Neurospora crassa OR74A: one gene and its partners. The protein of the gene in region 2 interacts with the protein of the main gene of each other region in a biochemical or structural test. Links are inferred from orthologs where the notes say so. Each region holds a gene or a part of one and is shown on either strand. Other genes may lie near its edges.

The links.
Region 1: the proteins of NCU06942 (region 2) and NCU07991 form a complex in vitro, tested with the Saccharomyces cerevisiae proteins (2 studies listed by BioGRID). The link is inferred for Neurospora crassa OR74A from reciprocal best matches to the Saccharomyces cerevisiae genes VPS4 and IST1.
Region 3: the proteins of NCU06942 (region 2) and NCU08001 form a complex in vitro, tested with the Saccharomyces cerevisiae proteins (3 studies listed by BioGRID). The link is inferred for Neurospora crassa OR74A from reciprocal best matches to the Saccharomyces cerevisiae genes VPS4 and BRO1.

The regions. Positions count from the first base shown.
Region 1 is NC_026504.1:3,828,804-3,832,716, reverse strand, and holds NCU07991 (DUF292 domain-containing protein), read left to right. Parts: upstream 1-1,452; 5' UTR 1,453-1,605; coding exon 1,606-1,632; intron 1,633-1,712; coding exon 1,713-2,585; 3' UTR 2,586-3,413; downstream 3,414-3,913. UniProt on the Saccharomyces cerevisiae protein: Involved in a late step in sorting of cargo proteins of the multivesicular body (MVB) for incorporation into intralumenal vesicles. The lumenal sequestrated membrane proteins are targeted into the vacuole after fusion of the endosome with the vacuole.
Region 2 is NC_026507.1:845,061-849,041, forward strand, and holds NCU06942 (vacuolar protein sorting-associated protein VPS4), read left to right. Parts: upstream 1-1,181; 5' UTR 1,182-1,644; coding exon 1,645-2,297; intron 2,298-2,374; coding exon 2,375-2,825; intron 2,826-2,935; coding exon 2,936-3,157; 3' UTR 3,158-3,556; downstream 3,557-3,981. Other genes in the region: NCU06941 (prefoldin subunit 6), read right to left, coding at 192-312, 371-495, 590-660, 715-778; NCU06943 (SIK1), read right to left, coding at 3,931-3,981. UniProt on the Saccharomyces cerevisiae protein: Involved in the transport of biosynthetic membrane proteins from the prevacuolar/endosomal compartment to the vacuole. Required for multivesicular body (MVB) protein sorting.
Region 3 is NC_026504.1:3,875,054-3,879,066, forward strand, and holds the start of NCU08001 (vacuolar protein-sorting protein bro-1), read left to right. Parts: upstream 1-1,213; 5' UTR 1,214-1,923; coding exon 1,924-2,201; intron 2,202-2,262; coding exon 2,263-2,692; intron 2,693-2,765; coding exon 2,766-3,911; intron 3,912-3,973; coding exon 3,974-4,013. UniProt on the Saccharomyces cerevisiae protein: Class E VPS protein involved in concentration and sorting of cargo proteins of the multivesicular body (MVB) for incorporation into intralumenal vesicles. Fusion between endosomes and the vacuole will then target the cargo proteins to the vacuolar lumen.

The DNA of each region.
Region 1 (3,913 bases), on a different chromosome or scaffold from region 2:
TGTGAATGTGAAATCACAGGTTCAGGTCGGAGCTGCGTGGTGGTGGGTGAATGGCGAAGGAAGAGACAGTGGCTCGTGCAGAGTTGCCGTCGATTGCAAGAACGGAGGAAATAGCCGACCCATGCAAGTTGCTTTCCCTTAAGGCCAGAGTGAGCTTGTTTTGAGAGGGAATGAATCGAGGTGCCTGGCGTTCCTGAATACCGAAAAGACCGATTTATCACGCGACCGGTAACAGAGCAACCAGGCAACCATCGGAGCTGGCATGCAACTTTCGGTTGACTGCGGAAGGCAAGAACCACTTTTCTCTAATTGAGCATCGTCCCGTGGGCAAAACCACCGACTTCGCCGGGGCTCGGCGACATTCGAGGCCATCCAGGTGATAGCTCGTCATCCCCACAACGTTCCTTCAGGATCTCTAACCACTTTCCTGGGCTGCTTCAAAAAGCGTGTAATTCGGAGGTTCACATTCATGAAGCAAAAGCGTGCACGGGTACAAATCGACGGGATGAGGATGGCAAAGCACGAGATATAAACAGAGAGAATTCATAGAGTGTGCCTCAACACTTGTCAGGGCACTTTGCCTGCGAAACACGATTGTGGTTTTGCGTGCAAGGTGAGTTACTAACCTGCTGGATTTCCTGGCGGTATTTGTACTGTTTATCCTTATCCTTGTCCGCCATCTTGACTGGTTTTTAAGGGCGACTGTCTGATCAAGTCGTCTATAAGTTGCCTTGTGAGAGAAGCGGTAACAATGATCGAGGAGACAAAAGACCACGCGTTCGATTTTGAGCGGAGTGGGAATAGAATCGTCGGAGCGAAAAACAAAGTATTGGGATATCAGGATTAGTGACACAAATGACAAGGAGAAGTCATGTATATAAGTTGAGTTGGGGAGGATGGAACTGGAGTCAAAAAGTAGGCCGTTGTAAGAGAAGAAGGGAAGCTGCGAGAGTTGATGTCCGGTTGTTCGGCGGACGTCGTTGACGTTCCGGCAACCAGCAGGGTTCCCGGTACATACTGTCACGTGATGCACATATGCTGCAGAACGTTCTTGGACCGGGCCTGCGTCGATGGCAGTTCAGAAGGAACAGTAGTCGCGTTTGATGTCTCATCTTCTGAGACAATCGACTGGAATCGTGAAGTTGGGTCGAGTGAATCACCTGCGAGACGTATCGTGGTGAAGGTGGTTGAACTCGAAATCGAGTACAGGGCACTGAAAAGTGGTCAGGAGGTGGAATCGTGAATGCAACATGAAGTAGGTAGATCTACATGCTATAATGCCTATTCTACAAGGGCTTCTAAGTACTCTCTACTTTACCTTACGCATCCGGCCCACTGAGCAAGGACCCGTTTCTCCCCTCGCGACAGCCAATGGCCCTGTCGATCCGCATACGGTCCCACCATCTACCCCACACAAGCTGTGGTGCTCCCGTCGTCCCGTCTCCTCCAACTCGACGACAACCTCGCAAGTTGCCTAAAGGCCATCATCATATCTTTGACTTCATTATCTGTTCTGAACCAGCCACTCATAGTTGGGTCGCCCACCTAGTCACAGCTTTTATTTCTCACAGCAAGCACCATTAGATTACCCGAAACACCTCAAATATGCCTCCCGCAGGAGCTGCCTTTGTGGTACGTCATCCTAACTCCACCTCAAGTTATGCCACGACATGTAACGTCTACATGGACGATGAAGCTCACTCGGAACACAGGCCAAACTCAAAGTCCAGCTGAAACTGGCTATTGCCAGATTGCGTATGGTCCAGAAACGCGATGAAGCCCTCGCCAAGACCCAGCGACGGGCTATGGCGCAGTTGCTTGATGTTGGCAAGGAGGACTCGGCCCGCATCCGTGTTGAAAACATCATCCGGTCAGACATCACCACCGAGCTTCACGAGATTCTGGAACTCTACTGTGAACTCTTGCTTGCCCGCGCCGGTCTGTTGGAGGCGCCCACATGCGACCCTGGTCTCGAGGAGGCCGTCAAGAGCATCATCTACGCCGCACCCAAGACCGAGATCAAGGAGCTCCACCAAGTACGGACGCTGCTCGCGGAGAAGTTTGGTAAGGAGTTTGCGCTACAGGCGGTGGAAAACTCGGATGGAAAGGTGTCGGAAAAGGTTGTCAAGAAGCTCAGCGTGACGCCACCGCGGGAAGAGCTTGTTGTTGGCTATCTGGAGGAGATCGCAAAGGTGTATGGCGTGAACTGGCCAAAGAAGAAGGCACACTTGGGCGAGCCGCCTGACTTTATGGACGAGGATGAGAGCCCGAGCGGTGGGCAGGCTCAGAAGAACCTCGAGGTACCTTTAAAGGCGGAAGATAAGGAGGCGGAGGCTCAGGAAGAGCTCAGCAAGGCAACGCCACCAGTGTCCTTCGGACCTGCGAGCCCACTACATGTTAACCCACCACCGCCGTCAACCGACAATATCCATCCCAAAGTCACCCTGAACCACCAGCAATTACAATCAAAGCAATCTCCAGCGGGTGGTGGAGTTGTGAAGAAGGCGCCTGCGAAGGGGAGTATCGCAGATGGCATTCCTGACGTGGACGAGCTGGCTAAGCGGTTTGCGGCTTTGAAAAAGTAGCATGGTTTTGCCATGATATGGACTTTTTTTTCAAGCGGTTTGTGCTTTTGCAGAACCAAACTACGAAGTATGGGAGCGAATCTTTGCAGCGGTACTAGTATTTGTTGGCCTATGACATTTCAAGCGAATCATCATCAATTCGAATATTCTCATACCTGGGCTGCTCGCTTGGTGTTGACTGACCCGTCGGATACCGCGTTGCTATTGGTATATGGCAAGGTTCTCTTGGTTCTTGGACTGCCAAGAATTCCCCAATCACCAAACCCTTCATCAGTCCTTTTGAGGTTGTAGAGGCATGGATCACTTCCCATGTTGATATTTCCGTGGCAGGCTGGCAGGATGGCGCAGCCGTCATGGTTGTGTCCGCCCCCTCCTCTTCATTCCTGCCCCCGACTTCCGTAAACGGGGCAGATGTGATGGAAGGCCCCCGTCTGTCAACCACGCCAGAGGTGACTAAATCATCTGGCAAAGCTAGCGAGGGTAGCTCCTGCCTTGTTCGCTGGATCCCCGCCGTGAAATTGATGGACGTTTGCTCTTTCCTTTCATCCCAACTTGTGTCCCTTGATTTCACACCTGATGCCAGCTGCCTGCTCTGGTCCCAATATGACCTTTGAATATTACAGTACCAACGCATCGACGCAGCCCAAGTCGATTAATTCCTTTGACCTTCCACATTTCCAACATCTCGCAGAGGTTGCTCATCAAGATATTCCAAGCAACAAGCGGATATCACGAGGCTTTCAAGGAAACTTGCTCCCACTGGTATCGCGTCCCTCCCACCTGGTCACGGGTGGGAAAACGAGCCAGAGTCACGGTCGCGTCATTCACCCTCACGTAAACCTGGGAAATAGCTGATTGAGGGGCACTCCTACTGTCAACCATTCCTGTTTCCCTTTTTTTTCATATTCCAATTGATGCAACTCAATTATCTACCCGCAGCAATTCTCCTAGTCTCGGATCACGCATTCTTGTATGTTTAGCAACACAACTGTGCTATCAACAGAAAACTATCCATCTCGTTAAAGACTTGACACTGATTGCCACATGTACCGCAGACTTTGATAGCAGGCATCTCGCCACCGAGTCGCAACGCGGCTAAGAGCGTCCAGAAACCAGCCAGCACTCCCCGTTTGGACAGAAAACTCACCATATCTGGCCAACAACCTGAAGAAAGCGTCTGATAAGGCTCATTTGATACTCGCGACCAAGAGCTAGCATCTCTTGCACTACCCTACCATCGATGATGGAATATAAAGAGGAGATGACAGCCTTTGTCGGGCGGCTGGGCGTTCGAACACTCGGCCAACTCTCTCTGAAGGAGCTTGCTG
Region 2 (3,981 bases):
CAAGGCGTCAAGGGGTATCTTGGGGGAATCTTCAATGAATACATCACGTAATAATTACCGTTTGGTAAAGAAATCGACCTATGACTGCATTCACGAGACAGTTTCCCCGGAGCGCTGTGTGATGAATCGTACCTGCGCCTGATCTCGATTGGGTATAGTGGACATTCTTTCCGTAACTGATTTCATTAGGTCTAAGCCTTGACGGCCTGAGGGGCACCACCAGCCTGGGCGCTCGTCTGGACCTGAATGATCTCTGTCCTCTTCTTCTCAATCTTGCCCTGTGTCTCCTTGATGACTCCCTCCAAGCGAGTGCTGTGACAGTGGGTCAGTTGCGTTGTAACTCAAGATCCCATGCAGCAGTTCAACTTACATCTCCTTGCTGATGAACTCCAGTCTACCCTTGACTGTGTTCTCTGCATCCATCTTGTCCTGCTTGAGCAGCACCGGGCCCACTAGCTTGAAGATCTGCTCGTCATCCTTGAGCTTCTCGAACTCCTACATGGTGCTCAGTTAGTCCCCATTTTTTCCTTGGGCAGAATTTGGCGAAAGGCATTGGGCATGCGAGCGCGATGCTTGGAGAAAAGCTGACATTTTGCACGCTGACGTTTTCCTGCTTCTGAGCCTCGAGCTTCTGTCTGGCGAGAACAGTCTCTTGGAGTTCTGAGGTACAGTTAGTGAATGAACTACGGGGATATCATCATAAGGGGGGCTCACCTTTGTTCAGGTTTTGATACTCATCAGAGAGAGCTTGGAGCTTTAGTTGGAGGGGGCTGGCCATGGCTGCTTCTTTGAGGGTGATGTGAAGTGAGAGACAGGGTTATGCTGAAAAGTTACTAGGCGATGACGTTCGAAAACTGAAAAAGGGTTTGGACACAGTGAGGGAGGGAAGATGATGGATCAAAATGCAGGAACAAGAAACACAGATGAGCTCCAGTATGGGGAATTTGGAGGTTTCTATTCCGGGGAACTGAGCTCGCTGTGCAGTCAATCGTCAGGGGTGAGCTGAGCAGATCCCAAAGTCAGTGCCCAAGCTTTAGCTGTTAGTGCAGGAGTGTATCCTCAAGCAAAGTACTAACAGCCCCAGACCAGCGCTCTCTCCACGCGCAAACAAGTGGCGTCAGTGGCCCCCAGGCCGGGAACCATAACAGGACCCCGCGCTACGCTAGCGCTTCCAGGTCAACGGCCAAGACAAGTCGACCTCGTTGCTTGAAACTAACCAAGATATGGACAAGACCACCAACGATCTTCCCCTCTCCAATTCCACCTCAGACCAGGGCGCGACACCAACTTTTTTGTGCCAGAAGACAGTCTTGCCGTAGTCGTTGCCAGGTGACGCCCGCAAGATACGACCAATTCCCGATTTCTCTTCACCTTATCTCTGCCACTCTCGTTGCCGTAGCCTAGGACAACAGCAGTCGTCATCAACGGGTCTCCTCCCTCGCATATGGCCATCTGTTGACATTGACTTCGAACCTCGGCGCGCGAATATCAACAAACTCTCCTTGTCCGAGCGAAGAAGCAAACAAGTATAACGACTACAAACGCTTACTACGGCGTACCAAGAAGAGCGACCAATCCTACACTCGACTAAACCACGAATTCACGCGACATCACTTTACACGCTTCGAGCCGCCGCCGCACAAAATGTCCAATACCGACTTCCTCGGCCGCGCCATCGAGCAAGTGCGCAAAGCCATCGAAGCCGACAACGCCGCCCAGTACGACAAAGCCTACCAGCTGTACTACCAATCGCTCGAACTCTTCATGCTCGCCCTAAAATGGGAGAAGAACCCGAAATCCAAGGAGATGATCCGGGCCAAGACGGGCGAGTACATGGACCGGGCCGAGAAGCTCAAAGCGCACCTGGCGGACGCGGAAGCGAAGCGGAAGAAGCCCGGGATGGTGGGCGCGAACGGGGGTTCGACGGGCGGGACGGGGAAGGGGAAGGAGGCCGGGGAGGACGGTAATGGCAATGGAGAAGCGTTGGATGAGGATAGCAAGAAGCTGAGAAGTGCGTTGGCGGGCGCGATTCTGCAGGAACGGCCGAACATCAGCTGGGATGATGTGGCTGGTCTAGAGGGTGCCAAGGAGGCCCTCAAGGAGGCGGTCTTGTTGCCAATCAAGTTCCCGCATCTGTTCCAGGGGAAGAGGCAGCCGTGGAAGGGTATTTTGCTGTATGGCCCACCGGGAACAGGAAAGAGTTATTTGGCCAAGGCAGTGGCGACAGAGGCGAAGAGCACGTTCTTCAGCGTGAGCAGCTCGGATTTGGTGAGCAAGTGGATGGGTGAGAGTGAACGGTATGTTTTGTCCTGTTGTCTCTGTCCTTATGCCACTATCGTGACTGAGAAGCTAACGATTTTCCAACAAAAAACAGTCTAGTAAAGCAACTCTTCGCCATGGCCCGAGAAAACAAGCCCTCCATTATCTTCATCGACGAGATCGACGCCCTCTGCGGTCCGCGCGGTGAAGGCGAGTCGGAAGCCTCGCGCAGGATAAAAACCGAACTTTTGGTCCAAATGGACGGTGTCGGCAAAGACAGCAAGGGCGTGCTGATCCTGGGCGCCACCAACATCCCCTGGCAGCTGGATGCTGCTATCCGTCGCCGCTTCCAGCGCCGCGTGCACATCACTCTGCCGGACCTGGCGGCGCGCACCACCATGTTCCGGCTGGCTGTGGGCGACACCCACACGGCGCTCAAGGCGGAAGACTTCCGCGAGCTGGCGCGCGCGGCGGAGGGTTATTCGGGTTCGGATATCAGTATTGTTGTGCAGGATGCGTTGATGCAACCGGTGAGGAAGATTCAGCAGGCTACGCATTTCAAAAAGGTTCGTTCTTTTTTGTTTTTCTCTTTTCTCTCCCATCCCTGACCCTCAACCCCTACTTCTACCTCTATTCATGATGCGAGATTGTTAACTTTTGTTACTACAAAAAACAGGTCGTCCACGAAGGCAAACAAATGCTCACGCCCTGCTCGCCAGGCGATCCGGACGCCATCGAAATGACGTGGGAGCAGGTACCCTCGGACGAGCTGCTCGAACCATTTGTCGACAAGAAGGACTTTATCAAGGCCATCAAGGCCAGCAGGCCGACTGTGTCGGGCGAGGATCTCAAGAGGAATGAGGAATGGACAAAGGAGTTTGGTAGTGAGGGTGCGTAGAGAGATGCCTGCCACAGTGTGGGGGGCGGGTGTGGTCAATGGTTCGTTCCGTGCGGTTTATTCTTGTTCTTTGGTGTTTCTCCCATGGAAAGCGAAGGAGTGGTATACAGAGGGCGGCGGGTATCTGGATGTTTTAGGTACTTTTTACTTTGGGGTTAAGAGTCTTGCAAGCCCCTTTTTCTATCTTGGCAGCACATTGCATGCGGCAAGGCACATGTTTACTACGAAGACTTGATGATGACGATATTATTCTAGCGAGAAAATCAGGGGAAGATGGAGTGTCGATGGGCGTTTTGCAATCATGCGATATTGGAAGAGTACATAGATTCATGACACTTCACATCAACCAGGTACTTTTAGACGTACGTTCCGTTTCGTTTAATGAGCCTTTGTTTTTACCCATATCGCCGCCATATGATGCTCCATGGGTATGATGCTAGTACACACGCACATCCTTTTCAACTTTTTTGCGCTACCCCTCTATGATCAGTCGTAGATGGCAAGAGATGTGAATGACGACAACGACGAACTATTTATGATTCTTGCAAGAAACAAGTAGACCCGTAAAACTCCTTTGTACCAGATTTGACCCATACCCCATACATTATAAGAAACTCCCGAGGATAACAACGACAACAGAGCGAACCAACAAGAACGACGTGCCAAAAAACGCGACGAGAAGCTCTAAACAAGATGACGAAGAAAAAAAGTAAAAATCGTGAAAAAGACACAAGTGGTGACGCTGCTTTTTGGCTCTTTTTCTTTCGGTCTTTTTACTCAGACTTCGACTTCTTCTTCTTCTTCTTCTTCTCGGGTTCCGCAGC
Region 3 (4,013 bases), on a different chromosome or scaffold from region 2:
TCGTGAAACAATCCTCTGACGGGGATATAGGGGTCGAGCACCTGGCTTCAGTTTCCGCACATTGTAGAGCCCCATGAACAGACGCCGTTCCGAAGGTGAGGAAAGTGCACATGTCGTAGCCGTGATATTGACAGTAGAGATGAGATATCCGTGTGTATGGATCCAGGGAAAGGCCGCTCTCGCAACCTGAACCTGTCGATCGCCAGCTGCAAGATGTGATGTGATAGTGAAAAGAGAAACACCCCCGCGTTTTGTAGCGGGGTTCTTCTGTTCTTCATCACTCTCTGTTTCCACATCCGTTGAATGCGGCTGCCTTGAGCGTTATTACCACGCACAAAAGGAGACGAGGCTCGGTTAATTCCATCACTTATACCTCTCTTCAGTTTCCTCATCCCATCATTCTGTCAGGTTGGGCTCAGTATTTCCTCTTTCTTCATAATGGATGAAAGATACGGATAGAAGCGCGTCTAATGAAGAGGTGAAAAGAGGGGTCAGCCGTTGGGCGCCACACCAACAAATCGCTGCACTGGGCCTTCATAGCCGCCGGCTTGTAGCTTTGTACCACACCCGGACTGTACGGGTACCCGAATCATTGGAGGATTGTTTCCGAAAACGGGGACCAGGGCAAGGCATTGAATATCGAGCCATGAAGCAACGCCCATCTGGACGGGCGATATGGATGGAGGGAAGGTGTGGAAAGATGGACTAGGTAGGTAGTGCTAAGCTTATTGTACCTTCCTGGTCTTATAATGGAGCTGCTTCCCCCGTCTGAACATGTGAGGAAGATGCCTGAAGCGATCTGCAGCCGGCGGCTAACTTGGAGAGAGCGGATGGAATCCATCTCTTGGTTTGCCTCTTCTTCGCTCGATTAGTTTCCCGCTTGGATATTCTGGTCCAGCAAACCTCACTGGGTGTCTTCGATTTCAAGCTAAGTGCTAGTGGCTTTCACATTGAACTCCATCTTCGATATCAGAGGCATCTTGTAGGTCTGAATCACAGCTGGAGAGAGCCCGGCCGGTGACAGGGGATGATGGAAGCTATACGGGACTGTCTCCGTAGTTGGGTGGCTCCTTCCCCGGTAGCTGCCGCCTGCCCCATCACGCCCATTGCTGCCCGCCGCCTATCGATGACCTGTCAAGCGGTGCACATATAACATATGACGGGGCCTGGAGGTGCCGCTCTTTCGCTTATACGATGAGCGAGACCGAGACAACTTTTGCAAAAGTTGGCCAGCCATAAATAACAACCTAGTATTGGTTTGAATACTATTACCAAGCAACATCACCTCAGCTTTATGTCTTGTCAATCGTCGAGCGTCGCCAAGGTACCTCTACCTAGGTAGTGACCAAGCCACCCGGCCACATTTGGAGACCTAAGCAACCATAAGGTACCTAGGTACCAGTAGTTCGCCTTGTGCCTACCTACTGCACCTCACCAGTTCCCCGGATCTCCCCCTCCCCAACCCCCAAAGAAGTAAAAAGTCCACAACGTGGTTCTCGACTTTACCGTCCACTCCAACACGGCCAGGCGGCCATCAACGCTCAATCACCACAGCAGAGTTCACAGCAGGGCAACCGCCGTTGGCAAAGTACCAGGTACCCCTCCGCCGCACGCGAGCTCTGACGACACAAGCTGGCTTGTTACCCAAAGCTTACACGAACACGCAACTCTCCTCCCTCTCACAACTCGTCAACCGCCAATCTTTCACCCTTTTCCCCAGTCTGCCACATACCATCGGCAAAGTAGGCTTAGGAAAGCTGCAGTCGTCACGCGGCAGACAACACGGAAAACCCACAAGAACTTGGATTACAAGCCGCCAGAACCGGGACTTTCGTCTTGTCTTGTCCCCGCATTCCGAACTCCATCGAGTCGTTTACCGAACCGAGACGCTGAATTCCAACCGCCCGCCCATACTCGCCCAACATGGTGCAGGCGCCCATGATCTCGGTGCCCCTCAAGGCCACAAGCGAGATTGACTGGGTTGCTCCCCTCAAAAACTACATTCGAAATACGTACGGCGATGATCCGGAGCGCTATGCCGAAGAATGTGCGACCCTCAACCGGTTACGCCAGGATATGCGAGGCGCCGGGAAGGACAGCACGTCGGGAAGGGACCTGCTCTATCGCTACTACGGCCAGCTCGAACTTTTGGATTTGAGATTTCCGGTGGACGAGAAGAACATCAAGATTTCCTTTACATGGTATTGTCCCTTCCAGTGTTCGGGACCCACATCGGTTGCTAACCATCTGCTGCTTCTGTAGGTTCGACGCTTTTACTCACAAGCCCACAGCGCAATATTCGCTGGCTTTTGAGAAGGCCTCCATCATCTTCAACATTTCCGCCGTTCTATCCTGCCATGCGGCACACCAATTGCGAACCGAGGAGGCGGGACTCAAGACGGCATACCACTCGTTCCAGGCCTCGGCCGGCATGTTCACCTACATCAACGAGAACTTCCTCCACGCGCCCTCGTCCGATCTGAGCAGGGAAACGGTCAAGACGCTAATCAGCATCATGTTGGCCCAGGCGCAAGAGGTCTTCCTTGAGAAGCAGATTGCTGATCAAAAAAAGAATGGTCTGCTCGCCAAGTTGTCTAGCCAAGCAGCCGCTCTCTACGCCCAGGCTGTTGAGGGCGTTCAGGAAAACGTCACCAAGGCCATTTTCGAGAAAGTTTGGCTGTCTGTGGTTCAGGTAAGTTGTGTAGGCGTGGGTTCCGTATCAGGAAGGATGGGAAATCTGGGGCAAAACTGACACAAAATATTAGATCAAGCTTAACTTCATGAACTCACTCGCCCAGTACTATCAAGCCCTCGCTGATGAGGATGCAAACTCTTATGGCGTGGCCATTGCGCGTCTTGAAATTGCACAGGGTCTTGCCAAAGAAGCAAACAAGATGGCACACAGTTTTCCCACCTCAGTGCCCCCGAACTCGAATTTGACTTCGGACTGTGGCCACATCCTGGCAGATGCGACCAAAAGACACCTCGCAACTGTCAAGGAAAAGTTGGAGGAACTCAACAAGGAAAATGATATGATCTACCATCAACCCGTACCTGCTGAGGCCAGCGTTGCACCAGTCCCCAAGCTGCCGGCTGCGAAACCGATACCCGTTAGCGAACTATATGCCGGCCAGGATATTCAACGGATCACCGGCCCCGACCTATTCGCGAAAATTGTGCCTCTCGCGGTCACCGAATCGGCTAGCTTGTACGATGAAGAGAAGGCCAAGCTGGTGAGAGCTGAGACGGAAAGAGTAGAAACCGCAAACAGCGAGATGGCGGCTAGCCTGGACTATCTCAGGCTTCCGGGCGCTCTTCAGGTTTTGAAGGGAGGGTTCGATCAGGATATCCTTCCTGACGAAGACTTTAGGACATGGTGTGTGGATGTCGCGGATCACGAAAGCCCTCATAGGATTTTCGAATATCTTCATACCGAAAAGCAGGCCATTTCAACAATACTGGATAAGAGTAGCAGGCAGTTGGATATGGAGGAAAGCGTGTGTGAGAAGATGCGTTCCAAGTACGATGCGGAATGGACTCAGCAGCCGAGTTCGCGGTTGACCACTACGCTCAGAACGGACATTAGGAGGTATAGGGAGGCCTTGGAAGTGGCAGCGAAGAGTGATGGGCAGCTCGCGACAAAGCTTAGAGCCAACGAAACTGAGTTGGATGAGATGCGCCAGGCCGCGCAGCATGGAGAGATCGATGAGTTGTTCCAGAGAGCAGTCAGGAAGTCGCGAAAGTCAAACCCGAATAGCCCCGCCACCGTGGAGCCTAATCTTTTGGAGGCCGATTTTGATGATGGTGGCCCGAGTGTGGTTGAGCAGATCCAAAAGGTGGAAGATATTCTGAAGAAGCTCAGCTTGGTGAAGAAGGAGCGTCTGCAGGTACTACAGGATCTGAAGCAAAAGGTATGTTGATCACTCACGATGAAGAGTCGAGTGTGGTTCATCAAGAGCTGACAAAACAACAGGCGCACAGTGATGATATCTCCCAAATTCTTATTCTCAACA